Canis lupus familiaris: one gene and its partners. The protein of the gene in region 5 purifies or fractionates together with the protein of the main gene of each other region. This does not show direct contact. Links are inferred from orthologs where the notes say so. Each region holds a gene or a part of one and is shown on either strand. Other genes may lie near its edges. The genes, in order: MEPCE, SART3, PRMT5, WDR77, LSM4 and PATL1.

Region 1 (5,358 bases), on a different chromosome or scaffold from region 5:
CTAAGTCCCTATCAAAGTATTAGTCAGCCACCACCCTATTCCTCCTCCCACCCCAAAACATTCCATGTCTGACACCTATCCCTTCATGCACCTGCATTCAGTGCGTTGAGAAAACTTTCCAACTGAACCAAATCTAGTGAGCAGCAGGAGCAGCCTGCAAGGGAAGGTGGACTGGTGTGGATTACAGTCCAGGACAGGAGCAGGGCAAAAGGAGTCAAACCCCATCTTGGGACCAGTAGTCATGACAAAGGAGCCTAGGTAGAGCCCCCATGTTTCCAGGTTATGGGGCGGGGGGAGACACTGTCAGTCACGATTCAGATCCCTGAAGATCTGGTTCTCCTGGCAGAGTACATGCAGAAATCCCTCTGGGTCATAACTTTCCTGTCTTATTCCCACTTAATCTCATCTTCACACCTGGCCCCTATACCAAGAGCCTTCAGACCCTCTTACCGTGACGAAGACAACATTGTTGGGGAAGACTGATGTGTCTGCTCCATCCAAGGGCACTTGGGGTGCAGCGATGGGACCCCGGCTGGCTGTCAGTGAGGCTGGGAAGCAGCTTCTCTTTCGGACGGTTATGGTCCCTTCCTCACTCTCTGCCCCTGGGTCCCCCTCAGAAGTCTGGGATGGCAGACGCAGCTCCTCAGACAGGTAGTGTCGGATGTTTTGGCGGGCCGAATGAATGAGTCGGGAATCGATATCCAGACCCACCATGCGGGATGGGCCCCACTTACAGGCAATGCTCAGGGTCAGATGGCCCACATTGCAGCCCAGATCTAGGACGTCCCGACCCCGAAACCACTCAGGCTTCAACACTCGAAGGCGCCCATCCTCACAGGAGGGATTGCGGTAACCATAGTACTTGCAATAATTCCCATACTGGAACTTGAGCTGTTGCTTTTTGAAGACTGCTGCAGGTAGTGGGTGGAGGTGGAGGTGGTGGTGGTGGTGGTGACGGCCTCCCCCACTCCCTCTGCCCTTCTCCTTGGGACCCTGGACTCCACCCCTAGCCCCTGCCTCTGACTTGCTGGAAGTCCTGCGACGTTTGCGATGTCGTGAGGAGGAAGACGGGGTTGCAGAGGTAACTGAGGCAGCTGGAGGGGCTGAAAGGGAGCCTGAGGGACCCTGGAGGGCAGATGGAAGGGGAGACACGACCTCATCCCTGCAGTTGATGGCTGTGTTGAGTTCATAGGGCTGAGGGGCATCCCGGTTCTGGCCCCTGTGCCGCTGCTGCTGTGGGGTGCCCTCCCCATGGAGTGAGGGAGTGAGGGGGGCTGTGGGGAGCACAGAGTGGCTATCATTCCCTCCGGTTGCCTGCTGCTGCTGGTGGTGCTGTCCCCGATGTCTATGCCGCTTCCGACCAGTCTTGAGTGGCGATGCAAGAACTACCTGGGCCTCATCAGTGCAAGTATTGAGACTGAGCGGGTCAGTAATATCTTTGGGGATGAGGATCTCCACTGGATCTCGCCCCTTGGCTGGAAGTGGAGATGACTTAGGGGTCTCTGCATTGAGTGCGCGGCTCACTTCCTCATCCAGGAGGCTATTCAGGTTCAGTGGATCAAAGATATTGCCCCCCAGGAGAAAGTTGGAGGGTAACACAGAATCACAGTCCGAATTAACCCGCCTGCGCCTCTTGAAGGCCGGATGTTTGAAGCCTCCACCACTCCCTCCCACGTTACAACTATTTCTCCTCTTTCCCCCACCTCCCCCAGGGGGCCGGTGGGGCTGATAGCCATTGCGGGGTCGAGGAGGGGCAGGGGGACCCAGTTCTGTTCCGCCTCCTCCCCTTCGCTCCTCCCCAACGTCAGGGGGAGCGGCTCGCCCGTGGGGATCCGACAAGCGGGCCTCCCCATGAGACTGCGCCTGGGGGCCGCCCCCTCGTTGCTGCTGCGACTGGCCTCCCCGAGTGGATGTAGCCCCAGGGCTCTCCTTGCCGACCCCAGAAGCCGGGACCCCCGTCGAGTGTGTGCGCGGGCCCGGCCCACGCTGCGTCCCGCCGCAGAGCTCCCCGGAGGCGGCCTCTCGGTGAGGTTGCAGCGTGGGGCCGCCCCCTCCGCCCGACTCATCTTTGAGCGGCGGCGGCGGGGCCGGCACCAGAAACGGCTCCTTCTCCGCCGCCATCTCGATCATTTCCTCCCCTTATTCCGTCCCAGTTGAGGGCAACGGGGGGGGGGGGGGGAGAACTAGGGGGCTTAACCCCCCTCCCTAGAGCCCGCTCCCTTCCCCCCTTCCCTGAGTGCGCGCGCAGCTCTGCTCTTCTCGCCTAGTCTCGCGCCCAAGCGCCTCCCCCGAAGCGCGCCCCACTCGCCCGCGAGACCAAAACAAGATGCCCGCGAGAACCGAACAACTCCAGGAATCAACCGCGCGTGCGCCAACGCCTTTCTCCTCCACCACTACCGCTTCGCCGCGAGCGCGCACTGCTAAAGCGCGTTCCTCTCGCCCCTGAATCACGCATGCGCACTCCGCCACCACCCTGGTTGCGCGCGCATGAGTACGAACCAACTTAACGGCTCCGGGAGTTTAAATATAGCCCACCTCAGCCCCCACAAAAGCCCACCACCCCAAACTGACACCCTACTTCCCTTCGCAGCTATGTCCGTCCCTACTGATATCCTTTGTCTCTGCCGCGCGATCCCACCCACCGTAGGCGGGGGACGGGGAGCTGGTGTGAAAAGGTCTCCTTGACACCCGACCCTTGTTCCTGAGGAATGAGTCTCAGCGGTCTCCGCCCGGCTCTAAACCCAGCAACCTCCCTACCCCGCCTCCTTCCTCCCCCTAGCGGGCAGCGCCTGCGCACACCCTTTTGGGCTTGCGCGGGTAGATACAGCACGTGCTGGAGATGACGCCCCTCCCTCCACCCTAGGGGCGGAGACTGTTACGTCGCTTCCTTAGATTTGGTACACGCAACGTGCGTCAGCACGGTTTGGAGGGGGCGTGGTCAACGAGTGGGGCGGGCCTCATGAATTATTCATATTTCGATCGCCCCCTTTGCCCACCTACTTAGAAAGGCTTCCGAAGGAACGGAGGGGTGAACCTAAAAGTAGAGGAAGGGAAGGAGAGGAGCGTACAGACGGCTTGCCTACGAACTGTTCTCAGTAAAATACAATAAGTCATTGTAACTCACCCCCCTGGGAAATAGTCTCTGCTGAACTGAAAAAAAAAAAGGCACTAAAACAGCCGATGTTGTCCAACTTCCTCTTCCCCCGAAATGGCCGAGTCGTTCTCTCGCTCCTCCGCTTTACCCCAATGGCGATCACCTGGGGACACCACGCCCTCCTCTCCGCCTCCACACCCACAGCCCTGGCACCAACACCTCTTCCCACCACCCGACGCCTGCGCGCGAGCCCCTAGCCCGCCGACTGCGTCCCGACGCCCACCGCAGCCACCAATAGCAGCACATTCGCCACCACCACGGCCACCTCGCACGCAGGCCTTCCCAAGCACACGCTCTCTTCGCGCAGCCTTATATAAAAACGAGTGTGGGCGGGGAAGAGGGTTCGGCCTGCTTTGGGCCCCCTGCCTCGGCCAATGGGGAAGAAGCTGCTCGGCGCCCTTTCCACAGGGTGCTAAGGTGGCGCGTTCTCCCTGCCAACATAGCTTGGGGAGCGGGTCCTGTGGCAGAGAAGAAGGCGGGAGGGGCGACAGTGGGGTTGCAGATAGTCTCAACTAAAACATCAAGATAGGGCGTGAACGAGACTAAAAGGAAGAATAGGAACCAGGAAACGAAAAGAGGAAGGAAAAAGCAGTCTGGGGTAGAGAGAAAAGTTAGTAACAGACAGATGTGCTTCATGAACGATCAGGCGCTGCTCCCGCCGCCTAAAAAAAAAAAAGTGAGGACACTGAGGATTATGGGATTTGTAGTTTTACAGGGCATTCGGCTGGAAGATGGCGGATAGAACAGCTGCGCAAAAGCAGAAGCAGTTTCGGCTGCGCATGCGCCCCAGTTTTGGATGCACGCCGCGGGGGTGGCAGCGCAGCTAGTGCGTGTCCTCACGCCTTTTCTTTGTGGCGGGAAAACTGGGTCGAGGTTGGAGGGGTTTGCGGAATTGCTGCAGTGGCTCATTCTGCTCTTTGCCTTTAGGTCCTCCTTGCTCCAGAAGGTAGCTGGCTTTTCTCCGGTTGCAGATGAAAGTGCTAGGCGCTGCCAGTCCTGGTACCCGTCGCCTGAGGAGAAATTTTCTCTTCTGGACAACCAACTCCTACCCCTCCTAAGAATCTCCACCGCAGACCTACCCTCCGCAAACAAACAAAAGTGACCCAGTATCCTGGCGGCCAGTGACGGGCTGAGCAGGAATGAGAATACGGGTGCCTCCCCCGGGGGTGGGGGTGCGGTCGGGCCTCTAACGGGAAGTTATCTCATGGTGGCGGTTCCTGAGGTGGAAGAGAGGCTTGCAGCAACCCCCTGTTTTATCCACTGAGGGGAATCAAGGACTTGGACTCTGGTACCTCCGATCTTAACTACCGTCCTTAAGAGAGAGTTGGTGAGGGAAGAGAGCGGGGAAAATGCGGATCTCCAGAAGTTCTTACCTCTGGTTTGAAAGGCGGAATTAGGGTTTTTACTGTTCCAGACCATGGCACCTTGTGAGAGGAAATGGTGCAGGCATGTAGGGGTTCGTGGGAATGTGCTTAAGTGAAACCAATACACAAAGGCGAGTTACTTTGGTAACGAGCACCAGTGGCAGTGTTGCAGCTGGCAGATAAGAGTCCGAATGAAATCAGCCCCCACAAAAGAAAACTTGTATTTTGGTGCTAAGTGGCCATATCTTTGTGCTTCCTTGCCCTCTGAACGGATAAGCTTCAGTTCACCGAAAATATATTGAAGAGATTTGGTACAAGGTTTAGTTCGTAGTTACCACAGTAAATGTTGTTAGATAATGGGCAGTAAAGGGAGCTGGGATCTTGTTTTTACCTTTTTTCTTGTGAAATCATGCTTGCCGAGGAAGAAAAAAAAAAACCCACTATGGTTATTAATGGGGGCATAAAAAATAAGCAGGGATCCACATGCCATTAGACATTGATGCCAAAAGGAAATCAGACTCCAAGATGAAAGATTTTAAATATAGTTTTCCAGGCTCACGGAGCCTGCGCAGACTGTGTGTCTGAGGAAAATTCTAAAGGGTTTACTTGTATTCTCTTAGACCAAGGATTCCAGGAATAGTATAAAGAGGGAACAATTAGATAGTTAGAAATTTGTGAACACGTTCTAAATGGGAGGGAGGAGGGTTAATGGTTTTTGAAAAATATTGACATGACTGAATTATTTAGCTAGGTCAGTTCTCAAGCTTTTTGGTCTCAGAACCCTCCTTACTATACTCTTAAAAGTTATGAAGGACTCCAAAGATTGGTTTATAGCTATAT
Region 2 (4,593 bases), on a different chromosome or scaffold from region 5:
TTGAGAACTGCCTCGTCCCAGACCTGTGGATCCGCTACAGTCAGTACCTAGTAAGACGACTTGACTGTTCTAACTTACCTCCTTGCTGATTGAGAATCTGTTCAAAGAAAAGTAGCAGGAGTGCCCAGAGTTAGTTGTGTGCCACCCCCTCTGCTTCCCCCTTTCCTCTCATCCTCCTCTCACCTCTGCCAGCTCAGTTTTTCCAGTGTTTCAAGTCATTTCAAATTGATCGCTAACTGTGAAAAAAACTTGCACAGTCTTGTTACTGAGGACTTTCTGACAGATTAACTTTTTTCTTGTAACTTTTCAGTATATAAAAAACATAAGCATTAGAACACAGATTATAGGGTGAAAAGCTCCTGGACCCGTCTCCTAGCTCCAACAGTTAACTCATGGCACTAGTCTGTTTCGTTTATATCATTAACCCTCTTCCCCCTTTCGTGTGATTTTTGAAGCAGAGCCAGAAATCACATTTCTTTGTAAATATTTCAATATGTGGATATAAAATATTTTTTTTATGTTTTTTTTTTTTTTAAGATTTATTTATTTGTTTATGATAGATACAGAGAGAGAGAGAGAGAAAGAGAAAGAGAGGCAGAGACACAGGCAGAGGGAGAAGCAGGCTCCCTGCAAGGAGCCCGATGCGGGACTCGATCCCGGGTCTCCAGGATCACACCCTGGGCCAAAGGCAGGCGCTAAACCACGGAGCCACTCAGGGATCCCCGATATAAAAGATTTGAATCAGGATCCAAACTAGGTCCATCCATTCGGATTGGTTGATGTCTCTTAAGGTGTTTTCATCTATACATTCCCCTCATTGCATCTTTTCTTGCCCCATTCCTTCTTACAATTTCTTTCTTGAGGAAACCAGTCCTATGAGAGGCATTTCTAAGGAGATTTCTTTTGTTAGCTGATTGTGCTGGAAATGTCTCATGGATGGTGAAACCTGTAACGATAGCATTTGATCTCCTAACTGTGGACTTCTTTATCGTAGGATCGGCAGCTGAAAGTGAAGGATTTGGTTTTATCTGTACATAATCGTGCTGTTAGAAACTGCCCCTGGACAGTTGCCCTGTGGACTCGTTACCTCTTGGCCATGGAAAGACATGGAGTTGACCATCGAGTGATTTCTGGTGCGAATGTTTTTGTGGGAAGAGTCTTAGGCTTTCTGTTCCAGGCCAGACACATAGTGCTGTGATAGTCATTAAATCAGCCTTCCCTGGCTGGTTTGGGATATTGGGTATTAGTGACAAAAAAGGCCCTAAGTGGGAAATAAACTGGTTATAAGCTTTTATCATGCTAACACTTATTGTGATTTTCCAGGAAGTGGGAGTCTTTTCTCCAAACTTACTTGACCTGGAATTCTTTTAGTGCAGGGCATCTTGTGGAACGTGCCCTTTCTAGAACACAGTTCATGCAAATCCTGTAGGAGCTTTTCTGTTGAACCTTTCTCTCTAGCCCATTTCACTTTATTGCATCTTGTCATTATTATTAAGTCATATAGTATTTGATAGTCAGTGGAGGCTTTTGTAACAATCTTGATAACTCTTGATAACTTCCTTTTGAATTGGTAACAAATCCTGGCTTTTTCTTCAATTCTAGTGACCTTCGAGAAAGCTTTGAGTGCTGGCTTCATTCAGGCCACTGATTATGTGGAGATTTGGCAGGCGTACCTTGATTATCTGAGGAGAAGGGTTGATTTCAAACAAGGTATTTATATTCACATGTCAAATTCAGTTCTTAGTTTTTTCCTAACATGTTTTGGTGAGAGTCCTAGTTGCCCAAATACATTATGATTAGGCAAATGATGTAGACCAGCCATTGACAACTGTTTTCCCCCAGAACTTTTAGCTACATAAATCCTTAACCAGTCTTGCTGTGAATTGTAAAGGAAGAGTTAGGGTCCTTATATTTTATCCTGGCTCCTGCCAGCATTTTCCATACTGTGCTTTCTGTTCTAGTGTCTTTCTCCCCAACTATGTGATGAGGGCAGGGACTGGCAATTCTATTTCTGTGTCCCCAGCATGATGCCAGGTGCATAGCAGGCTCCCAGGAGTTTCACTGTAGGATTAAACAAACAAACAAAAAAGACATGGTATGCGGTTTCCTGAAGCCAATCCTCTCTTGCAACTTCTAACAGACTCCAGTAAAGAGCTGGAAGAGCTGAGGTCTGCATTCACTCGCGCCTTGGAGTATCTCAAACAGGAGGTAGAGGAGCGTAAGTGTGGCTTCACTCACTCCTTGATCCACTTGTCTTTCCTCTTGGTGGATATGCCTTCTCAGAGGCTGTTTGTCTCTAAATTCATTTCTAATTGTGACTAATTCTGTTCTTCCAGGTTTCAATGAGAGTGGAGATCCAAGCTGCATGATCATGCAGAACTGGGCTAGGATCGAGGTAAGTGTGTTTGACACATCTGTCTGTGACATCCACCTTTGAAGGACATTTGTGTAATAATGTGGCTAACATTGAGTCAGAATCCTAGGTGATGGTCTAGGGTCTCTAAGAGTTTGTGTTCTATATCTAGCTTGATGAGCATTCAGCTGTTTCTTAAGAGAAACACCAGTACTTGGGTAAGAACTTATGCAGCAGACATCGGAAATCCAGGTGTTCACTTGTGGACCGCCCCACCCTGGTGCGTGGTTTGTGAGAGTATACTGGATGTGTACTATCTGGCAGGCATTATACTGTGTGCTGGGGAAATGAGGTAGACCTGCTCTGTGCTCCTAAGTCTTGAATGTTGTGTGGGAGTCAGAAATTTGACAAATAATTAGGGAATAGATATTATTGTTGGAGCAAGGACCCCAAGTGACTAAGGTATGGAACCTGCTCTTGATCAGCTCACAGAACTGTGAAATTCTAATCATGTTTTATTTTCTGAGGGGGAGTCAGGTCAAAAAAACAAATATCTATCAGGTTCAGAGAGGTTCACTTGTCCAAGTCACTTAAATGGCAGAGCTAGGACCTACCTACTCCTAGATCAGTCTTTCTCTGCATTGCCTCTTGGATTAAACTTTTGTAGTAAGCTTGATAAAAATAAAAACCTGTGGGCTCCTGCTCTTAGCTCTCATATAGTATAGGCCAACAGCTTGAGACTTGTCACCTCTAAAAGCCGGAAGTGGTTGAGCTGGGCCTGTTGCTGTGCAGTGCGGCTGGGGAATATCCAGGGAGTTACAGAACACTGATCATCAGTGGGGGGTTTTAAGGCACTTCTGTTCAAAGTATGTTTTGTAATAGGTGCCAACGTTGCAAGTTTTGAGTCTTTCCTAGTGGAGCCTATTTATGCATTTTAGGCTCGACTGTGCAATAATATGCAGAAAGCTCGGGAACTCTGGGACAGCATCATGACCAAAGGAAACGCCAAGTATGCCAACATGTGGCTCGAGTATTACAACCTGGAGAGGTAACCAACCTGGGGGCGGGGTTGGTGGTGCTTATCAGGGGTCAGCTGTTGTGGGTCCTGGCTGCCTCCTGCCAGCCTGGGCTTGCTCCTCCCCACAGGCCTTGGGCCTTTATCCGCCTGTCCTTCATTAGTGGCTATATGTGTACTGGGCGAGGTTAGGAAACTAAACCTAATATTTTGTGTCCAGGCTTGTTGTACAGCCAAACATTTCTTTTAGTTTGTTATTTTGGTTTGTTTTGATTTTTGGACCTGAATATTTTATTTGAATTTTTGGAGAACTATTTTTTTATATTGGTTTTGTATGTAAAAGTAGAAGATATTAAAAAACAGAGAAAAACCCCAAATTATCTGCATCTATAAATCCAGAGATGTAACCCCTGTTAGCTAATGGTTTTTGAGATTTTTCTATGCTTAATTTTTTTTAAAAGAAAATGCAATGACAGAGTACATGTTACAAATTTTAAAAGTTATTTTAAATAAATGAGACATGACCAACTGTTGTTAACATGGGGAAGATGTAAAGAATAAGACCATCTTTTCTACTTATTGTATCTTGAACATTGCATGTCAGTAAATGTATTTCTGTATACTTTTTTGGGGAATATTTTGTTTTACCCCCCATTTAAAAAAAAAAAAAACATGCTCAAATTAAAATAGAGCATTTGCCAAACTATGTGGTAGAGAGTGAAAGTTCCTTAGCATCTCACCCCCAGAGATGACACTATTAAAGCTTCTTGAATATTGTTCTAGGTCAGCAGTTCTCAAGCTTTTTGTTCTCAAGACCTGTTATACTCTTAAAAGTTTGAGAACTGTAGAGAGCTTTTGTGTATGTGAGTTGTATGTATGTAATATTACCATATTAGAAAACTGAGAAATTAAAAATTGTCACAATAGTAAATTCATTACATTTAACATAAAGAATATATTTTGTGTGTTTTTCAAATTCCAAAATAATTTAGTGAGAAAAGTGGCACAGTTTTGTAGTTTGGCAAGTATCTTTAGTCTGGCTTGGAAGACAGTTGGATTCTGATGTCTATTTATGCATTCACTGTGTTGTGAATTCTCATTGAAGAATATGAAGAAAATTTGGCTTCCTGCAGATAGGATATTAAAGAAAAGGGTATTTTAACCTTTTCAGATAATTGTGGATATTTTTTCACACTAGGGCAAAATTCAGCAAGTGGTAGTTTTT
Region 3 (4,470 bases), on a different chromosome or scaffold from region 5:
TTTATATCTGTAAAAATGAGAGGAGTGGACTAGATTAGAGATTCTTAGTCTGAGATCTGTGGACTCCCTATACTGACATGATACATACCTTGGGCTTAGCTTTCATCCAGATCTCTAAGAGTTCTAAGACCCCACAGAAGAACCATTAGTTCAGAATATCTTAGGGTTTTTTCCAGTTTTAATCTTGTGTGTCTCTGTAGGTTAACCTAGAAGTAGAATCTCCCATGACAGGGGTTGGAAGGAGGTTGGCCTGGGAATGTGACAACATTGAGCCACCTGGGTCTGTTTTGGGGGTTGTTTTGTTTTGTTTTGTTTTCAATTTTTATTTTAAGTAGGCTTCATGCCCAACATGGGGCTTGAACGTACGACCCTGAGATCAAGAGTTGTACATTTCACCAGCTTAGTAACTTAGCTAGCCAGGTGCCCCTGCCTGGGTCTATTTGATGTGGGAGCTTTAAACCTTCAGTTAGACATACCATTTTCATCCCTTCGGAACTTATATGATCCTCCTGCTCTGCAGATGATGGTGTGAGCATCCCTGGGGAGTACACCTCCTTTCTGGCTCCCATCTCCTCCTCCAAGTTATACAATGAGGTCAGAGCCTGTCGAGAAAAGGACCGAGACCCTGAGGTAAAAAGCCACTGTCTTCTGCAGAGCTCTTTTCTTTTTAGTCCTCTTTTTTTTTCTTTTTTTTTTTTCCTATATTAGCATCAACTGTTTGCTTCCACTGGAGAAAATGAAGAGGTGAAGGAAGAGATGGGGATGTGGGAAAGTGACTGAAGTGAAAATATTTTTATCCTTTTCTTTTTATTTTTTTAATTTTTTTTTTTTAATTTTTTTTTTTTTTTTTATCCTTTTCTGTGTCCTGGACGCCCAGGCTTCTTTACCTGGGGGAGTAGATGTCTTGCCTATCTGCTTCAGCTCTTGCTCGGTCTCTTGGGACAGGCCCAGTTCGAGATGCCTTATGTGGTGCGGCTGCACAACTTCCACCAGTTGTCTGCGCCCCAGCCCTGTTTCACCTTCAGCCATCCCAATAGAGGTGGGTTCCTGTGTGGCTGTCCTCTTGACTGGATGGCTGAAAGCTTACTTTGTGGTTTCTTCTTTTGCGATCCTGGGTCTACTCTCTCTAAGCTGCCCTTGCTAGTTCTTGTTCTTGCTTTACCAAGTTGTCTAGAGCTTCTAGTCCCTTGTCATCCACGCAACTCCTCCCTAACAGATCCTATGATTGACAACAACCGCTACTGCACCTTGGAGTTTCCCGTGGAGGTGAATACAGTGCTACATGGCTTTGCAGGCTACTTTGAGACTGTGCTTTATCAGGACATCACCCTAAGTGAGTATCTGGGGCCGAGGATGGCACGCTATGAGTATGTTATCTGGGCAACTTATGTAGATGTTTCATTTAGAGTCACAGGGAGCCTAGGAATCAGTGAATGTGGATCTTAGGTTACTTGTTTCTCTGTTCACAGAAGACACTCCCCTCAATCCAGGCAAAAAGAAGAGTCACAGAGACCTCAGTTTTTTTCATTATTTTTTTCACACAGGTATCCGTCCAGAAACTCACTCTCCTGGGATGTTCTCATGGTTTCCCATCCTCTTCCCCATCAAGGTAGGAATCACCTTTCTTTCTTTTTTTTTTTTTTTTTAATTTTATTTATTTATTTATTTATTTATTTATTTATTTATTTATTTATTTATTTATTTATTTGAGACATAGAGAGGCAGACACAGGCAGAGGGAGAAGCAGGCTCCATGCAGGGAGCCCGATGCGAGACTCGATCCTGGGACTCCAGAATCACGCCCTGGGCCAAAGGTAGCGGCTCAACCTCTGAGCCACCCAGGAGTCCCAGGAATCACCTTTCAGACTCAGTGGGTTAAGGTGTCACTTTTGCCATTGGTGTTCTGCCCCTTTCCTACTCTCAGGATGATGCTTGACTATGACCCATGTTCTGCTCCCACATGCTCGTGGATCTGTTGTAGGTGTTGAGATGTTTTTATTGCCTTTCTCCTTGGCTTTCCCACATTTCCTCTGTCTATTCTGTCCAGTCTTTACCTTGAGCAAGAGTCATCTTTTAATCTGATCATAATTCTGTACTGCTTAAAACCTTTCAACAACTTTGGGGCTCCTGGGTGGTCCAGTCAATTAAGTGTCTGACTCTTGGTTTTGTCTCAGATTGGGATTTCAGGGTCCTGAAATTGAGCCAAATGCTGGTGTTGGGTTCTGTGCTAAGCGTGGAGTCACTTGGAATTCTCTCTCCCTCTCCCTGTCCTTCCGGCTTGTGTGTCTCTCTCAAATAAATAAATCTTTAAAAAAGGAAAATACCTTTAGTGACTTCCTACTGCCTTCAGAATAAAGATTTAACATTGTAAGACTCGGTGTGATCTAGTTTTAGCTTGTCTCTTCAGCTACTATCTCCTTGATTACACTGTGTCACCCCTGTGGACCTTTTTTTTTTTTTTTTTTTTTTTTAATTGAACTATAATGAACAGTGTTCTGTTAGTTTCAGGTATACAACATAATAATTCAGCATATCTGTACATTACTCAGTACTCATCAGGATTCTAATACAGTCTTCTTTCCTGCCTCAGGTTTTCACACTTTTCTCCTTTGCCTGGAAAGTTCTTTGTTCATCTCTTCACCCATTTAACTTACCTTCCTGGTCCCCTTAAACATTCCTCTTGTCTGGTAACTTTCCCTGACCAACAGAACTAGGTTTGAGTTCCGTCTCATAGGTGCTCTTGTAGTGCATATCCTCTGCATGTTCATGGCCCTCATCACACTTTTGATTTTCTGTTCAATGTCTGATTGTGAAGTTCTGATTATTCATTCTGAAAGACTTCAAATAAACTTCATGAGGATTGGAATGTCAGGTTTTATCCTTTTCTCTCCACACTTAGCTCAGTAGTATATTGCCATATACAGTTCGTTAGTTCTACCTTAAACTTCTCTGTCTTTCTTCTTGCAGCAGCCCATTACAGTACGTGAAGGCCAGACCATCTGTGTGCGTTTCTGGCGATGCAGCAATTCCAAGAAGGTGTGGTATGAGTGGGCTGTGACAGCACCAGTCTGTTCTGCTATTCATAACCCCACAGGCCGCTCATACACCATTGGCCTCTAGCCCTGCCTACAATGTTCAGAGCCTTGGAAGCAGCTTAAAGTTCCGCTCCTGAAGCACAGAGAGTGCAGTACATCTGTGGGCTGTGATTCCCCTTTGCCCATCAGAGCGGAGCATTTCAGTCTGCTTTCCTGCCTTACAGCAAGGTGGGCAAAGGATGAGAATTAATTGCAGGGCTCAGGCCACCAACCTGTAAAGACTCCAGGCCAGGGAGGGAGGAATTTGTGCTGGATCTGAAGCTACTCCAACAGGCACTCAGCCTCAAGTACTCCCTGGAATAGCCCTGAGAACATGTGGATTAAACACATTTTCATCCCTTTCCCTGCCCATCTCTGTTTCTGTTTTGATGGTTTTGTGTGGGAGGAAATACAAATAAAGTGAAGTTATCAGCCTTTTCCTGCTCCAACTCTGCTGCCCTGCGCCTTTGCTTTCTCACACCTTACTTAAACCTAGGCATATTCAGATCTGTGCTTTTATTCAAGACCCAAAGGATCTTTGTTCTGTATATAGGAAGCTTAATGGCCACTCTTGGACTCCTGGGTGTAGGTCTTTGGGACCAGCTGCAAAGAGGTCCATTAAGATCTGTGATTAGGCTTTTCTCTGGGGAGAAAAGATTGCCCTCGTGGAGAAAGATGGGAGTAGTGAGTGAAGCCAGCTTCCCTTCCGCTTTCCTGAGCTGCTGCACTGCCAGCTACCTCTTGGGAGGAAAACTGGAAGCCATTCAGGCACCTCCAACAAGAAGCCACCTATTTTATTTGAATAAAGTCACAAGGTTAGAGTTTGAAGTTGTAAGAGTGCCAATTCTCCATTTTATACAGGAGGATTTGAAACTGACACAAAGATATATAATATTCAAATCAAGACTGGAACACAGATCCTCTAACCCTGTGGCTCTCTCAATGATCTAACCAGTTATGTTTCTGTCAGCTAACATATTGGGCAACTGAAGTGTGAGGATTCTGGATCCCCTTGGAACGTGAGAGTGGACATCAGTTCCTTCTCTTTCTGGTTAGAGGACTGAGTATTGCTGTACCCAAGGAGTCACCTGAGAAACTTCCAGGTTTACTTTTGCAGTGCGAGGTGTGTAGCTGTGCTCGCTTCGGCAGCACATACACGAAAAATTGGGAAGTGTGTAGCTGTGGAACCAGGCAATAACCACAAGAGAGTGTGAAATTAGACAAACGTGACAACACTTGTGTTTTCCCGGGCCCAAGCACAGAGGGTAAGAGGAGATAGTTGGGAGGGCTGCGTGGCCAGCACGCTCAGAAGGGGAAAGTCCAGCCCAACATCCTTCCGGGCGGCGTGAAACAAATGCAAGTGCTCGCCGTGAAGCTGTCGCGGATGAGTACGACAC
Region 4 (4,143 bases), on a different chromosome or scaffold from region 5:
GCCCTTCTATCTCTTGCCCTGTAAATAAAAACTGGTCTAATCAAACCCAGCCATAGTAGAGCCTTGGCATTTTCCACGTATATACTCTGAAACTTGTGAATCTTGCACTTTTGAATATTCACTTCCATAAAATTTGTTTTCCTAGTGATAACCGTCACTTTCTATTAATGTTATTATTATTATTATTTTTTACTTTCATCAATAGCAGTAGCAGCTGACTTTATTCTTAGAGCCATTCTCTATGGAGATGATGTCTAGAGCATTAATATGTGTGTGGTTAAGAGATATAGATGCCAGGTAGTTACCTGGTTCACTCAATAGCTAAGTGCCATTCCCTGCCAATTCTAATTGCAAAGTGTATGATTCATATATGTGCCAAAGCAAAAAACTAGAAACTCCTACATATCCTGGACCTTCACTATTTATAAATCTTAGACTCTAGTGGGAGTCCAAGATTTATAAATAGTCAATGTTAAAACACTGATGCCTTTTGTTTTTTAGGTCTATGAGGGATTTTCCTGGTCTGCACTAACTCCTTCAGCACTTTTTCCATTCATAGTATTTCATCAGTTCTTTGTATTTCTGTCTTACTCCCCCCACTGAATTGCACATCCCTTGAGGGCAGAGGAACCACTTTTTATCTTTTGTATTTTCCCATGGTGCTTGTCTCTGAACTTTGCTTTCAAGTGAGTGGTCAATTTTTTTTCATTGTGTTGGCTTTTTATGGATTCAAGGGCTAGGGAAGAACTATGAAAGGTGGTTGGATTACATCCTCCTGTCTTGGGCAGAGCCATATTCAGACTATCTCCAGTAGCCTGGTAAATGCCTTCAGAGTAGGTGGTTTCCACAGCCTGTATGCATCGTAGGGCAGTGATCTTTAAAGTTTTTAGCATGTAGCCCTCCTGAAAATTTTTTGAAAAACTATCCTCTCACACATTTTTAAATTGGCATCTAATTTAAATTTAAATAGTTGCAAAGGAGGTACTTTCTGGCCATATCATTTATTGTGCACTGGTTTCAAGCACGTGTTGGTCAAGATTTTGGATTTGCAGTTTAAGTCCCTGTAACCTCTGCCAAATGTCTATCAAATAACCTAACTGGCTAAAAACCAACCTGCTTTGTTAGGCCAGCTGGCCAAATTAGACTCAACCTTCTTTTTTTCTTTTCCTTTTTTTAAGATTTTGTTTATTCACGAGAGAGAGGCAGAGAAGCAGAGATACAGGGAGAGGGAGAAGCAGGTTCCATGCAGGGAGCCTGATGTGGGACTCGATCCCGGGACTCTGGGATCACGTCCTGGGCCGAAGGCAGGCACCAAACCGCTGAGCCATCCAGGAATTCCCGCATCTCAAACTTTAATGTACCAAAGGATTACCCGAGTGCAACTCTGGGGTGGTCCTGAGACTATTTCCTAAGAAGCTCCCAAATGATACTGATGGTGCCGGTGTGCAACCATAGCTTTGAGTAACACGTCAGTTTGGTTTTGATTTTTACAGTGATTTTTTTTTTAAGATTTTATTTCTTTATTCATGAGAGACACAGAGAGGCAGAGACATAGGCAGAGGGAGAAGCAGGCTCCATGCAGGGAGCCCGACAGACTCAATCCTGGGTCCCCAGGATCACACCCTGAGCCAAAGGCCGACGCTCAACCACTGAGCCACCCAGGAGCCCCTAGACTCAACTTTCTATCAGAAAAGGTCTGACTTCATTTTTAAGTTCAGTTAAATTTGTCAGATGTGTCCTCGGGACATTATCTGTCATAGTTCTCAAAATTTTCATTGTTAGGCAGAAATAGAGTCCCAGAATACTCTAGTTGCTCGTGGTGTGTTGTGGTTTGTGGTAGCTGAGACAGGGCCAGCTCCTGCACTGAATTTTGCCGAGATGCTCTTTGGCTCTCAGGGAAAAGCCCCTTTTGTTTAATACCTTAGGGTTTCAGGCACCTGGGCATTGTACCGTGGTGAGATGTGGGGTGGCTGAGAAGTGCGTGTCTCTTCTAAAACTGGGAGGAGGGGAATGTAAAAGAGGAGGAAGGAAAGGGGCACTGGCAGACTGGAAACTTCTCAGTTCAGTTTTAGGAAACAGAACTTTGGGAAAGTTTATTTCTCTAAATGTGTCAGTGTCCAGACCTCCCTTGAAAGTTTCTCTATGTTGTCTGGAGGTGTGTGTACTAAAATCTGAAAATTGCTATTCTGGGATGTAAATTCCTTCACTCTTGTTGCCCAGCCCCTGATCTTTCTTCCTTTGTCTTTACTAATTCATTGGCTTCCCCATGCCTTTTTAGCTTTAGAACTCCATCAACATTTTCTCTTAGGTTTTGTCTGATCCAAAATCTCTCACAAAATGTGTTAGATTGCATTCATGAAATAAGGGGTCCCTTGGTGGTATCTGGGCTGCTTGGTAGTGATGCCTGCAGCTTTTCTGTCATGCTTGCCTCTCTCTCCTTCACAGCTCACTCTGGGCAGGTCACCTGTGTCGCAGCCTCTCCCCACAAGGATTCCGTGTTCCTTTCATGCAGTGAGGTGAGATACAGCCTTTCCTTCCCTCCTCACTTCTAACCACACTCGAACCCTCTGGCCACAAGTCTAGTGTGGAGGCCCGCAGCTGCTTTTTGGATTGTGAAGCTCTTTTCCTGTTCCTTCTTCTAGGACAACAGAATTTTACTCTGGGATACCCGCTGTCCCAAGCCAGCATCACAGATGGGTGAGTCTGAGAGCCGGTGGTGGGAGGGTGGTAGTAGGAACCCACCTGGAAGAGGCTTCCTGGGCCAGAGACAAAGGCAAGGTCACCAAATGCTCAGTCATTGTGGCATAAGAGACATAATCACTCACTCTCTTTCCCATTGAAGCTGTTGATTCCATTGTGTGCAGTGGGTACCAAGATGATGGGTTGGTTCGTGGGTGGCTGATATACTTTACGTTTCTGGGATGGGTAGATAAAGGGGCCAGAATTGTTGCCTTCATGTTTTATACCTGAAACCTGCCTGTGACTAGTGTCCAGAAAGGACAGGAGAGGCTGAAGGATAAATGAAGGTATGAAGATTGAGGGCAAGGACACAACTGCCTTAGCTAGCAGGGTTTGAGAAGGCAAATTAAGGTGATTCTGGGATTTGGAGTGAATTTTGTTTGAGAAGCTCCTTCCCAGAGCTGGGCTCTAAGTCTTGTTTCAGATCCCTCTTCTCTCTTTGCAGGCTGCACTGCCTCTGGCTACCTTCCTACCTCCCTGGCTTGGCATCCTCAGCAGAGTGAAGTCTTTGTTTTTGGTAAGGCGGCCTGTCACACAGCGTTTTGATTCTGGGAAGGGGGAGGATGAGAGCACGCTGACCCTGTAAAGCACAAAGCCCTGGCCGCTCAGTCTCACCAGCACACCTGAGCATTATGTAAATTCTGCCAGTGGTGAGGTGGGAAGGTGGAATGATCCAAAAGTGATTTTAGTTTGACTTTGCAAAATGTGATGACTTTTTTCCTGGTAGATTTGATTCCTGAGTATGTGCTTCAGCTCCTATGTTTTGGGTGCAGCCAGAAGTCAGTGGATCACAACAGAACAAGTGGATTGCTACGTAGAGAATTCTGTTGTAGAGTGGGGGTAGCTCTCATGCTCTCACAGCGATGAGGCTGTACCTGTGATGACATAGTTTGTGGTTAAAATAATAACTACCTCGTTCATTAATTTTCACAACCACCAGTGACTAATTATCCCCACTTTGCAAAAGAAGAAACTGATGCACAGAGTGGTTAGCTTGTGTAAGGCTGAGGGACTAACATTCAAATCCAGGTCTGGCTGACTCCAGGGCCCATGCTCTTACCCACTGTGATGGGCTCCCTGCTTTCTCTAGGTGATGAGAGTGGGACCGTCTCCCTGGTGGACACCAAGAGTGCAAGTTGTGCCCTCAGCTCAGCCGTGAACTCCCAGTGTGTCACTGGGCTGGTGTTCTCCCCACACAGGTACTGTCCTTTGTCCCCAGGGGCCTGCTGGGTATGAATGGGACAGTGCAGGGGGATGCTTATGTTTGCAGAGCATTAGCCAATTAGGTCATTCCTTAAAGCAGACAGTGACCTAGCTGAGGTTTCAGAATGCTAAAGATCTCTTAAGACCATAGTCTTTTTTTGGGTGATGTAGTGTCTGTCTTCACATGGCTGAAAGCTGGTC
Region 5 (5,130 bases):
TGCAGGGAAATCTTTTATTGAGAAGGTGAGCATCAAGGCCTCCCCAAGCCAGCTCCAGGAAGCACAGGGTCTTTTCAGCTGGAAGAACTTGGCCCTGATCTTGGTAAGAAAGGCTCTCAAGCCAATGTTGACACTCAGGAGACCTAAAGAAGGGTAGTCACTGGAGGAGGGCAACTATTGCTCATTTACAGGCTTGAAGGTCAAAGAATGGGTAAAGGTCAAGGCAGAGGAAGGAACCTTTGATGGTCACCCAATTGGTAATTACTTGATGAGGTGGATTGAGTAGTGCCCCTAAAAAGATATGTTCTATTATAACACGGGTAAATTCTAATTCCCGTTCCTACAAATAGGACCTTTTTGGAAATAAAGTCTTTACAAATGTGATTAAGGATCTCAAGATGATATTATCCTGGATTTAGGGTGGGCCTAATAAGAGAAAGGAGTGTCCTTATAAGAAAAAGAGAGGAGATTCCTGGGTGGCTCAGTGGTTTAGCGCCTGCCTTTAGCTCAGGGGGTGATCCTGGAGTCCCAGGAGGGGAGTCCCACATCGGGCTCCCTGCAGGGAGCCTGCTTCTCCCTGTGCCTGTGTCTCTGCCTCTCTCTCTGTGTGTGTGTCTCTCATGAATAAATAAAATCTTTTAAAAAGAAAAAGAGAGAAGACTTGAGATAATGAGACTCACAAAGAAAGCCATGTGAAGACAGTGGCAGAAATCAATATTTCTGGGTGCCAAGAACTATGAGGATTGCTGACAAACACCAGAAGTTGGAAAAGATGAATGGGACAAATAGCCACTAAGAATCTCCAGAAGCAATCAACCCTACTGATACCTTGATTTCAGACTTATGAATAAAGCTCTATTTTTTTTTTTAAGATCTTGTTTATTTGAGATAGCAAGCAAGAGAGAGAGAGAGCACAAGCAGTGGGGAGGGGAGGAGGAGATGGAGAACCACAGAGGCTCTCCACTGAGCAGAGCCCCACACAGGGCTTGGTCCCAGGACCCTGGGATCATGACCTGAGCAGAAGTCAGATGCTTAACAGACTGAGCCACCCAGGTGCCCCAAATTCTGCTGTTTTAAGCCACCCAGTCTATGGTAATTTGTATGGCAGCCCAAGGAAACTAACACATTTGCCTATTTTTTTTCCTTGCCACCTGTCTTCTCAACGGGCTCCTAAGTCCCAGGAGGGCCAGTTTCGTCTGGTTTGTTCACTCTGTGTTTCCAGGAACAGACACCTAGCAGGTGCTCAATAAATATTTATCACACGCCTGGGTACTAAGTGCTTTTACCTAGCTTAACTCCTTTCATCCTTACTACAACCGAGGGTAGACACTATCACGAGGCCAATTTTCAGAGGGGCAAACTGAGGCTCAGAGGGGCACAGTCAGGATTCCAACCTAACCAAAGGACATGCCTTGGATAAGGATCAACTACAATAACGAAAATCAAAAGTGTAGGAGCCCTAAGGGAGACATTAGGCACAACCCAATAACCACGGAGCCTCGATTTCTTCCTTTGCAAATTGCAGCAATATCCGGCTTTGCCCACAGCGCGGAGCCCAGGAGGGCTGAGAGAGTTTCACCCGCGCATGCGCCTTTACCCATAAGGCCCCCTGCGCTGGCGCACGCGGTTCCGCCCCCGTTTTCAGCACTCACGTCGACACTTTACGGCCTCTCATTTGGCCGGCGAGAACACAGCCAACCTCGCCCGTCGTTGTCTAGCCGACCCCCCCTACTCCGCGTGGATTGGCTGCTCGTCCCTCGAGCCCCACGCTGATTGGTTCGTGTCGCTGCCACTTCATTTCAGCCTAGTGGCGCGCGGCAGGGCGGCTACCGGCGGCGCGTGAGTGGCGGCGGCGGCGGCGGAAGTGGTCGGCGAGCCCGCTCCCCGCCGACACCATGGTGAGGGCAGGGCGCCGGCGAGGTCTCTTCGGGAGGCTGGGAACGCGGCGGCCGAGGGCCCTCGGGGCGGGCGCTGCAGGCAGGGGCGACGCGGAGCTAGCGTGCTGTCAGGGCCTCGGTTCTGCCGCCTCGGCCCGTGACGGGCACACTGAGGCCGGAGAGGGCAGGGAGGTCTCCCAGAGCATCCAGCCTGTCAGTCTCGGGGGGAATAGACTTGGACGAACGTGTAATCCTAGGTCAGCCTCGCTGCAGTCTTCCCATTTTGCAGATGGGGATACTGGGGCCTGAGAGACCCGCTAAAGGGCTCGGTGAATGCTGCAGAGGGAGTTCGGGCAGGGGAGTGGCTCCGAGTGCATCCGACCCAATCTAGCTTCACATATTGGGAAGTGGGAGCGACCCGAGGGGGCCCGATCTGAGTTCTCAAACTAAACCAGTTTGAGAATGTCAAGATTTGCAAGGCCCTTAGAATGTTAGCACGATCTTCTACGCCTCTCGTTTTAAGGCTGAAAAAAATAGACCCAGAGAGGGGGCTTTGTCTTCTCCCTGGATCACACAGGGTGTCGTTTCCGGAGAAGGGGAAGCATTTTGAGCCTGGAGTGGACTAACTGCACCCTCCCATTTCACTGAAGAGAAATTGAGGTCCTGGTGAGAAGCCTCTTCTGGATCATGCTGTTATCAGATCCTGAAAGTTCTGGATTTAAGTCAGAGTGTCTCCTGCCTTCAGTGTCCAGACAGGGAGGTGCGTCCGGCTGGCTCAGTTACAGAGCCTGCCACTCTTGATGTCGTGGTAGTGAGTTCAAGCCACACGTTGCTCGTGGAGTAGAGCTTACTTTTTTTTTTTTTTTTTTTAATGTATAGACAGGGAAACAAGACCACACAAATTCAGAGCAGGCCTAGGAGAGTACCTGGCCCATCAGCACCAGAGTCCCTCAGGGTCCCTGCATGTTTCTCAGCTGAGGGTTGCACTAAGTACTGCTCACTGGTGCAGGAAATGAGAGAAGGGAGTGTAGTGTGTTCCTCTCTGCTGGAGGGCAGAGGTGGCCTGAGAGGAGGGGTGGAACTGGAAAATTCCTTCTTCCTTAAGCTCCCTGGATCTTTGGATTTTATCCCCCAGTATGTTCCTAGAGCCTAGAACAGTGCTTGTGCAAAGAACATATTTTTTTTCAGCCTGAAGAATGTCCAGGAAGGGACAAGGCATGACACACTCCCAGTTCCCCGTGGGTTATAGTGGGGCCGGAAGCAGGGATCTGAGGGTATAGGGGGGCAAGGGGGAGTCCGTAACAGCTTCCTGAATTGGGAGCCTCAGGAAGCCATCGGGTCTAATCTTAGATTGGTCTAGACCTGAGAACCAGATTCCAGACATTCTGAAAAAGGCCAGGGGAAAGGATGCTTTTTCCAGAAGCTTTTGACTTTCCCAACTCCAGGTGGCCCTGTCTTCCCTGGAATGGTGTCCTGGCTTGTCCCATCTCCCTTGGCACCTTCAAAAATTTCTTCCCCACCAAGTTTTTTAAAGTTCTCAGGGATCTTCCCCTTCCTCTTGCCTCTGTCTCCAGCAGTTTGGGGATGAGAATCTCAAAAATGGCAAGATGTGGACCCTGCTCCCAGCCTTTGCAGCCGTAGAGAGCTGTCCCTCCCAATGCCGCCTCTCCTTTTCTTATCTGTGGGGTGGGGCAGGCATCCCAACCACACCATGTGCCTCCCCGGATGGTGTATGCATTTTCTTGTGTATTTGTTCAGCAAATATTTACTGAGTCCCTCTCGAGTGCCTGGCCCTGAGCTCGGTGTTGGACAAAGTCCACACCCTCTGAATTTTCCAGTCTAGCCAGAGAGACATAATAAACAAGATAATTAGAGACTGGCTGTGTCCTAGAATGGAAGCAGCAGGGGGTGGCCCAGGTGGAAATCTTGATCCCCAGATGAGGTTATTATGAGGGCCTGGCTAAGCTAGGTGAGAGGTGATATGTGAGCAGCCACCAGCCTGAGGAAGGACTGCTGAGGCCAAGGGAACTGCAGGAACAAAGGTCAGAAAGCTGGACTGGGTGTGGCTTGCTGGAAACCGAATGGGCCACTTTGGCTGGAGCTGGCTTGGCCTTGTGACTCCTTTGGGGAGTGGATGTGCAGGGGAGTGTTGGGAGCAGGTGTGGATCACTTCTGTGTCTTAGATGTCCTCTCTGCTGCTTTCTGAATAGGGCACTGCCCGTGACAGGGAAGCTGGGGTTCTCCAGGACTGTGCTGCCAGTTGCTGGGACAAAAGAGAGGCCAGCAGGGGCATAGAAGCTGCACATGCCATAAAAGGACTCCTGTGGGTTTCCTGGTGACAGGCTTCAGCTTACTTTTCGTGGGCTTCCCCAGGATCTTGCTGTGGTGTCCCTGGGAAGGTCCCTCCTGCTCTGGCTGCTAGTCCTTCATCTAGGGGGACCTTGGCTATACCTCTCTGTCTCTCAGTGCTGAGTCTGTCTTTATTCTTGCCTTCCAGGCCCAACCTTGCTCTGTCCCCTCTTGGGTGATCTGGAAGGAAGACCCAAGGGTGTCATTGCCATCCTGGTCCACATTCCCATCTTTGACACAAGAAAACAGGCTTGCTCGAGAAAGCCTGAGACTTCACCTAGTAAACAGCGGCCGAGGCTCATGGCCCCCGTGTGTTAGATCCTCCTGCTTTTCCGTGGCTCTCTGTACCCGGGTACCATCGCACAGATGAAGTCCAAATGAGAGGGCAGGAGCTGCAGGTTGGCTAGGTCAAGCCCTGGCCTGCTCGCCTGTCCTCCTTTGAGCAGCCACGCCTTCTCCACGTGGCCCTTTCTTCCTTTTTATCTTGCCCTTCCAGGAAGCCAGTGCAGGAAGTGGGCTTGGGCCTGGCTTCCTGCCGGCACTGGACCGCTCCTAGGCTGCTGTTCTCTGGAAAGGCTGTGGGATGTGGGAATTCCCCTCCAGCCTCTCCATGGAAGCCATCCTGTGGGGGTTGAGGACCACTTCTAGCCTCCAGTCCCCACCACCTAGAGAAGCAGCTGCCCTGCACTAGGTAGGAGTGTGAGGGCAGGCCGAGACTCCCCTGCAGCGAGCTTCTGGGGTTTGGGCTGACTAAGAATCCCAAGGAAGCCAGGACAAGGAGCAGTGAAGCTACCATCCTGCCTGAGGCAATGTCTCATCTGTAGGACCCTCACTCAGACCAGAACCTTCATTCAGCTTTGCTGGATGAGTAGTCACTCAAGCGCTACCACTGGAATGGCCTTCC
Region 6 (4,593 bases), on a different chromosome or scaffold from region 5:
GAGGTTCCTTAACTTTTTAAAACATGTTATAATTTCTAGTATCCCTATAATAAATGGGAAATACTTCAGATTTTTATTGATTATCCTTGCAACCAAAAAATGGGAAAAGATTTAGGTAAAACATCACATTAGATACATAGATTTTGGGGATCCCTGGGTGGCGCAGCGGTTTGGCGCCTGCCTTTGGCCCAGGGCGCGATCCTGGAGACCCGGGATCGAATCCCACATCGGGCTCCCGGTGCATGGAGCCTGCTTCTCCCTCTGCCTGTGTCTCTGCGCCTCTCTCTCTCTCTCTGTGACTATCATAAATAAATAAATAAAAATTAAAAAAAAAAAAAAAGATACATAGATTTTTGTACTGAATTGTTAGGCTCTGAGTAAAGAATAGAGAATATAAAGGTCTTTGAAAGCTGCCTACATTGCTAAGTTATTTGTCGGAAATGTTCTGTCCTTGCAGTGCAGTTCGAGGGCTCTTTGGGAAAGCTTACTGTCTCCAGTGTGAATAACCCCCGAAAAATGATTGATGCCGTTGTAACATCGCGGAGTGAGGATGATGTAAGTGTCAGCAGAACTGTGTTCAAGAAATGCTGGGTCAGGTCATCCCTACTCCCTGGGGGTCATTGTGGGAGGGAATCAGGCACAACAGAGTTGTTTGTTATCTAACTGGGAGCTTTCCTCCACCGCACCCCAGCACATCCTGGCATTCTGGTTTCCTGCGGGTGGGCTGAAGTGCTAACACCTTCCTTTTTAAGGCAGCTAGGCCAGACTCTGGGTGGCAGGAAGTCTTTACACTGGGTCACTGGCTGCAAATAGCATTGGCTGTTTATTCCAGTTTTTAAAATTACCATTTTCTATGTGTTTTAAGATTTTCTTGTGATTATCTTCATCTTCACTGCATTCTACGATTACCTTTTTATCCATCTGTAAACTCAGTTTGGTAGTCTTTGTGGGTGAATTCAGTCAATTCTATGACCTTTGTCCAGTTATCGTTGTTTAGATTAATGTTTATTAATTAATGTGTAAGTTTCTCTTACAGTCTTGTCACAAATGAACTATGCACACTTAGAAAATTGTTTTTAGGGGATCCCGGGGTGGCTCGGCAGTTTAGCACCTGCCTTTGGCCCAGGGCGCGATCCTGGAGTCCCGGGATCGAGTCCCGTGTTGGGCTCCCAGCATGGAGCCTGCTTCTCCCTCCTCTCCTGTGTCTCTGCCTCTCCTCTCTCTCTCTCTCTCTCTCTCTCTCTCTTTCTCTCTCTGTCTTATCATGAATAAATAAATCTTAAAAAAAAAAAAAAAGTCTTTTTAACAGAGATAAAGAATTCACACTGAATAGTCTTGTCTTTTTTTAGGAGACAAAAGAAAAACAGGTTCGGGACAAGAGACGAAAAACCCTTGTCATAATTGAGAAAGTAAGTTTTAGAATTTGTTGTTGTCGTTAGTTCCAAATAAGGAACTGTCAAATATATGTGTACACAAGAAGTGGAAAAGTAAGCAGTCGGTGTGCTGTGATTTTAATTAATGAGCATATTCTTCTTACATGCCTGTTGTATACCAGAACACACTAGAAAGGACGTGCTGTGCCTCACCTATGGCCTTGTGGAAAGAACACTGCAGTTACAGTGACACGTCCTGGGTCTTTGTCCAAGCTTGTTCAGTTAACTGCTAAGTGTTTGCGGTCAGGTCACCTTTCTAAGAAAGTGAAAAAAATTATATTATTCCACCTGTGAATTGAGTTAATTAAGTCAGTTCACAGGTATTACTGGATATCCCCTGGATGCTGGGCACTGTGCTGGATGCTAAGAAAAATGTGGTCCTCATTTGGCACTTAGTTTGTAAAGTATAAATAACAGTGTTGCAAGGCCATAGGCACAGTGAGGAAGGGCACAGAATGTGCAACCACACTGCAAGTCACATCGTCTTCATTTCTGAGTCTGTGACTCGAGGCAAGCTACTTAATCTTTCTGTGCTGTCGTCATTTTCTTTATCTGCAACAGTGGAGACAGTAATAGTCTTTTTTCAGACCGGGTTGTGAAGAGCATCAGGTGAAACGAGTATGTGCACCCAGGAGTGAAATTATTGCTGTGTTTATAGATATAAGGCACACCTGAAGCAGTGATACAAGTCATTTATGTTACAGTGCTATTCTTGCTGCTGGAAAGTTTTCAAAGTACTGTCCGTTCCATCCTGGTTAGAAGTCAGGAGGGACAACAAACAGGAATTCTTTAAGTCCTTTCACTCTGTTTTTCTGGATTCAACAGCACCTTTTTCCTCTCAGTCTTACTACAGTTTGTTTCCACTCTTTGTCTGTACCTGGTGGTCTTAAACTCTCAAATTGTTTATCAAATACTCCGATCCTGACCCAGCATGCTGTCGCCTGCTTTGTGTCTCACTTAGACCTATAGTTTACTCCTGGATGTGGAGGATTATGAAAGGCGGTATCTCCTAAGTCTAGAAGAAGAGCGACCTGCCCTGGCGGATGAAAGAAAGCACAAAATTTGTAGCATGTATGACAACTTAAGGGGGAAATTGCCTGGACAAGACAGGTAAGAATTGTACACTTGGAGTGACACGTGAGACCAGCCAGACTCCTCACTTGGCTGACCTGAGCTTTCTACATGTCTCTCTCTCAGATACCTTCCTTACCATCCTGGGAAGCTCAGAGTCTATCCTTCTGGCCTAACTCAAGTGCCATGTCATACAAAGCACTTCATAATCCTTCCCAGCCAGGAAAAAAAAAATCTCTTTTTTCCAGATTCATTTATTCATCACCAATATATTTCCTACCTGCTAAGGCCTATGCTGGGCACTGCAGATATGGTGGAGAACAAGATATGGTTTCTGTGTTAGAGCCTACAGATTGTGCTTGCTTTATGCTTTACTGTAGCAGGTTCAACCTTGTAATCTTTGTGTTATCTTTTTCTACTGAGATGAAAAGTTTAGACATTTATATTCTCTTGGGATTTCCATAGAATGCTCATATGCTATGGAAGCCAATCAATCTTCCGGTGGGGACTATGCTCCTTAATATAGCTGTTTATCTGTATCTGTCATCTCTCCCATGCAGGATCTTGCTAACAGTAAATGTTCTATAAACCCAAAGTGTTTTATTTGATGAATGCAAGAGGACTCTGTCCTGATAATTTCCTTTCCTTTGCCCATTTAAGAGAATCGGTGATTATTCTAAGCCAGAACACGCACAGACCAGAACATAAAAATAAGCACCCTCTTTTCAGCACACCTTTTCTGGAGTCAGGTTGACATACAAGTGGTTGAATAAATGTAGGTTTATCCATAGTTTGAGATGTTATGCAGCCATCAGATCAACGTAGTTGAAGTATGTTTATGGAGATAGAATATTGTCACAAGAAGTTGTTGAGTGAAGAAAGTCAAGAAACAAAGCTGTGTGAATTCTCTGGATTTTTTATTTTTTTTAAGATTTTAGTTAGTTATTCTTGAGAGAGACAGAGAGGCAGAGACACAGGCAGAGGGAGAAGCGGGCTCCATACAGGGAGCCTGATGGTGGGACTTGATCCTGGGACTCCGGGATCACGCCCTGAGCCAAAAGCAGACGCTTAACCACTAAGCCACCCAGGAGCCCCATTTTTTTCTTTTTTAGTGAAAAAATATACAGCACAAATGTTCTTAAATACGATAATAATATAAAGTTAATTCTGAAATGATTGTTTTTATATCCTTTTTGCTTATGTATGTTTTCAGATTTTGCCGTATCAACCATGTTTTTTGTTTAGTTGTATAACACATAAAGGAAACGAATGCATGTAGTTTGAACAAGTCTTTTTAATGTACATCTGTGAAAGGACAATTTTCTACATTTGAGAAACTTGAAAAACGACTTGTTAATGTGTGGTTGAGAGTTGGAGAAGTAATTCTCACTATTTTGCAGCACAGGTCATCTTAGGGTGAAAACGAGCACAGCATATTCGTTCAGTAACATGGAAGAGGAGAAAAAGGATGTCTTCAATTGTTCTTGCTGACCTAAGTGAGCATTTCCTTCCCCCGCAGGCCAAGTGATGACCACTTTGTACAGATCATGTGTATCCGAAAAGGGAAGAGAATGGTTGCCCGTATTCTTCCTTTCCTCTCCACAGAGCAAGCAGCTGACATTCTCATGACAACAGCCAGGAATCTCCCTTTCCTTATCAAGAAGGACGCACAAGACGAGGTGATCCCCCATGTGGGACTTCTTTCCTTTGGGTCTTCATAGTTTATAAGGTTTCTAGAATCCAAATTTCATTTTCTCCCCCTCCTCATTTCTGCTGTCTTATCTAACCTTCAGCAGTAGGATTTGATTATTTAAAGGAAAACTCCAGGACTATATTTTTAATCCCACTTTTGCTCCAGTAGACCAAGTTCCTAAACCAAGGAAAGCAATAATCCCATCTTAATTTGACATAGTTGTGAGGTTATGTTGTATATCAGAATTTTGGGAGAAGCAGATAATTCAGCCCTACTCCCAACATGCTGAATCAGAATTTACAGAGGAAAAATCAGGGCTTCTGTATCTATAACAGAATCCCTAGCTGAATCTGATATGAAAATTTACAAATTTATGATCTTGGTTAGTTTGCTGGA

The links.
Region 1: the proteins of LSM4 (region 5) and MEPCE purify together in Homo sapiens (affinity purification with mass spectrometry; 3 studies listed by BioGRID and IntAct, with this or other methods). This does not show direct contact. The link is inferred for Canis lupus familiaris from reciprocal best matches to the Homo sapiens genes LSM4 and MEPCE.
Region 2: the proteins of LSM4 (region 5) and SART3 purify together in Homo sapiens (affinity purification with mass spectrometry; 4 studies listed by BioGRID and IntAct, counting the BioPlex papers as one, with this or other methods). This does not show direct contact. The link is inferred for Canis lupus familiaris from reciprocal best matches to the Homo sapiens genes LSM4 and SART3.
Region 3: the proteins of LSM4 (region 5) and PRMT5 purify together in Homo sapiens (co-immunoprecipitation; 3 studies listed by BioGRID and IntAct, with this or other methods). This does not show direct contact. The link is inferred for Canis lupus familiaris from reciprocal best matches to the Homo sapiens genes LSM4 and PRMT5.
Region 4: the proteins of LSM4 (region 5) and WDR77 purify together in Homo sapiens (affinity purification with mass spectrometry; 3 studies listed by BioGRID and IntAct, with this or other methods). This does not show direct contact. The link is inferred for Canis lupus familiaris from reciprocal best matches to the Homo sapiens genes LSM4 and WDR77.
Region 6: the proteins of LSM4 (region 5) and PATL1 purify together in Homo sapiens (co-immunoprecipitation; 4 studies listed by BioGRID and IntAct, with this or other methods). This does not show direct contact. The link is inferred for Canis lupus familiaris from reciprocal best matches to the Homo sapiens genes LSM4 and PATL1.

Annotation. Positions count from the first base shown.
Region 1 is NC_049227.1:9,182,460-9,187,817, forward strand, and holds the start of MEPCE (7SK snRNA methylphosphate capping enzyme), read right to left. Parts: upstream 3,119-5,358; 5' UTR 2,131-3,118; coding exon 451-2,130; intron 1-450. UniProt on the Homo sapiens protein: S-adenosyl-L-methionine-dependent methyltransferase that adds a methylphosphate cap at the 5'-end of 7SK snRNA (7SK RNA), leading to stabilize it.
Region 2 is NC_049247.1:18,687,080-18,691,672, forward strand, and holds part of SART3 (squamous cell carcinoma antigen recognized by T-cells 3), read left to right. Parts: coding exon 1-50; intron 51-994; coding exon 995-1,133; intron 1,134-1,602; coding exon 1,603-1,710; intron 1,711-2,140; coding exon 2,141-2,218; intron 2,219-2,336; coding exon 2,337-2,395; intron 2,396-3,291; coding exon 3,292-3,401; intron 3,402-4,593. UniProt on the Homo sapiens protein: U6 snRNP-binding protein that functions as a recycling factor of the splicing machinery. Promotes the initial reassembly of U4 and U6 snRNPs following their ejection from the spliceosome during its maturation.
Region 3 is NC_049229.1:3,370,252-3,374,721, reverse strand, and holds the end of PRMT5 (protein arginine N-methyltransferase 5), read left to right. Parts: intron 1-520; coding exon 521-630; intron 631-945; coding exon 946-1,039; intron 1,040-1,216; coding exon 1,217-1,333; intron 1,334-1,544; coding exon 1,545-1,609; intron 1,610-2,440; exon of another isoform or gene 2,441-2,966; coding exon 2,967-3,119; 3' UTR 3,120-3,522; downstream 3,523-4,470. UniProt on the Homo sapiens protein: Arginine methyltransferase that can both catalyze the formation of omega-N monomethylarginine (MMA) and symmetrical dimethylarginine (sDMA), with a preference for the formation of MMA.
Region 4 is NC_049227.1:41,099,039-41,103,181, forward strand, and holds part of WDR77 (methylosome protein 50), read left to right. Parts: intron 1-2,445; coding exon 2,446-2,516; intron 2,517-2,642; coding exon 2,643-2,697; intron 2,698-3,184; coding exon 3,185-3,256; intron 3,257-3,829; coding exon 3,830-3,938; intron 3,939-4,143. UniProt on the Homo sapiens protein: Non-catalytic component of the methylosome complex, composed of PRMT5, WDR77 and CLNS1A, which modifies specific arginines to dimethylarginines in several spliceosomal Sm proteins and histones.
Region 5 is NC_049241.1:45,114,502-45,119,631, forward strand, and holds the start of LSM4 (U6 snRNA-associated Sm-like protein LSm4), read left to right. Parts: upstream 1-1,809; 5' UTR 1,810-1,895; coding exon 1,896-1,898; intron 1,899-5,130. UniProt on the Homo sapiens protein: Plays a role in pre-mRNA splicing as component of the U4/U6-U5 tri-snRNP complex that is involved in spliceosome assembly, and as component of the precatalytic spliceosome (spliceosome B complex).
Region 6 is NC_049239.1:37,560,236-37,564,828, forward strand, and holds part of PATL1 (protein PAT1 homolog 1), read left to right. Parts: intron 1-457; coding exon 458-555; intron 556-1,349; coding exon 1,350-1,409; intron 1,410-2,394; coding exon 2,395-2,543; intron 2,544-4,023; coding exon 4,024-4,183; intron 4,184-4,593. UniProt on the Homo sapiens protein: RNA-binding protein involved in deadenylation-dependent decapping of mRNAs, leading to the degradation of mRNAs. Acts as a scaffold protein that connects deadenylation and decapping machinery.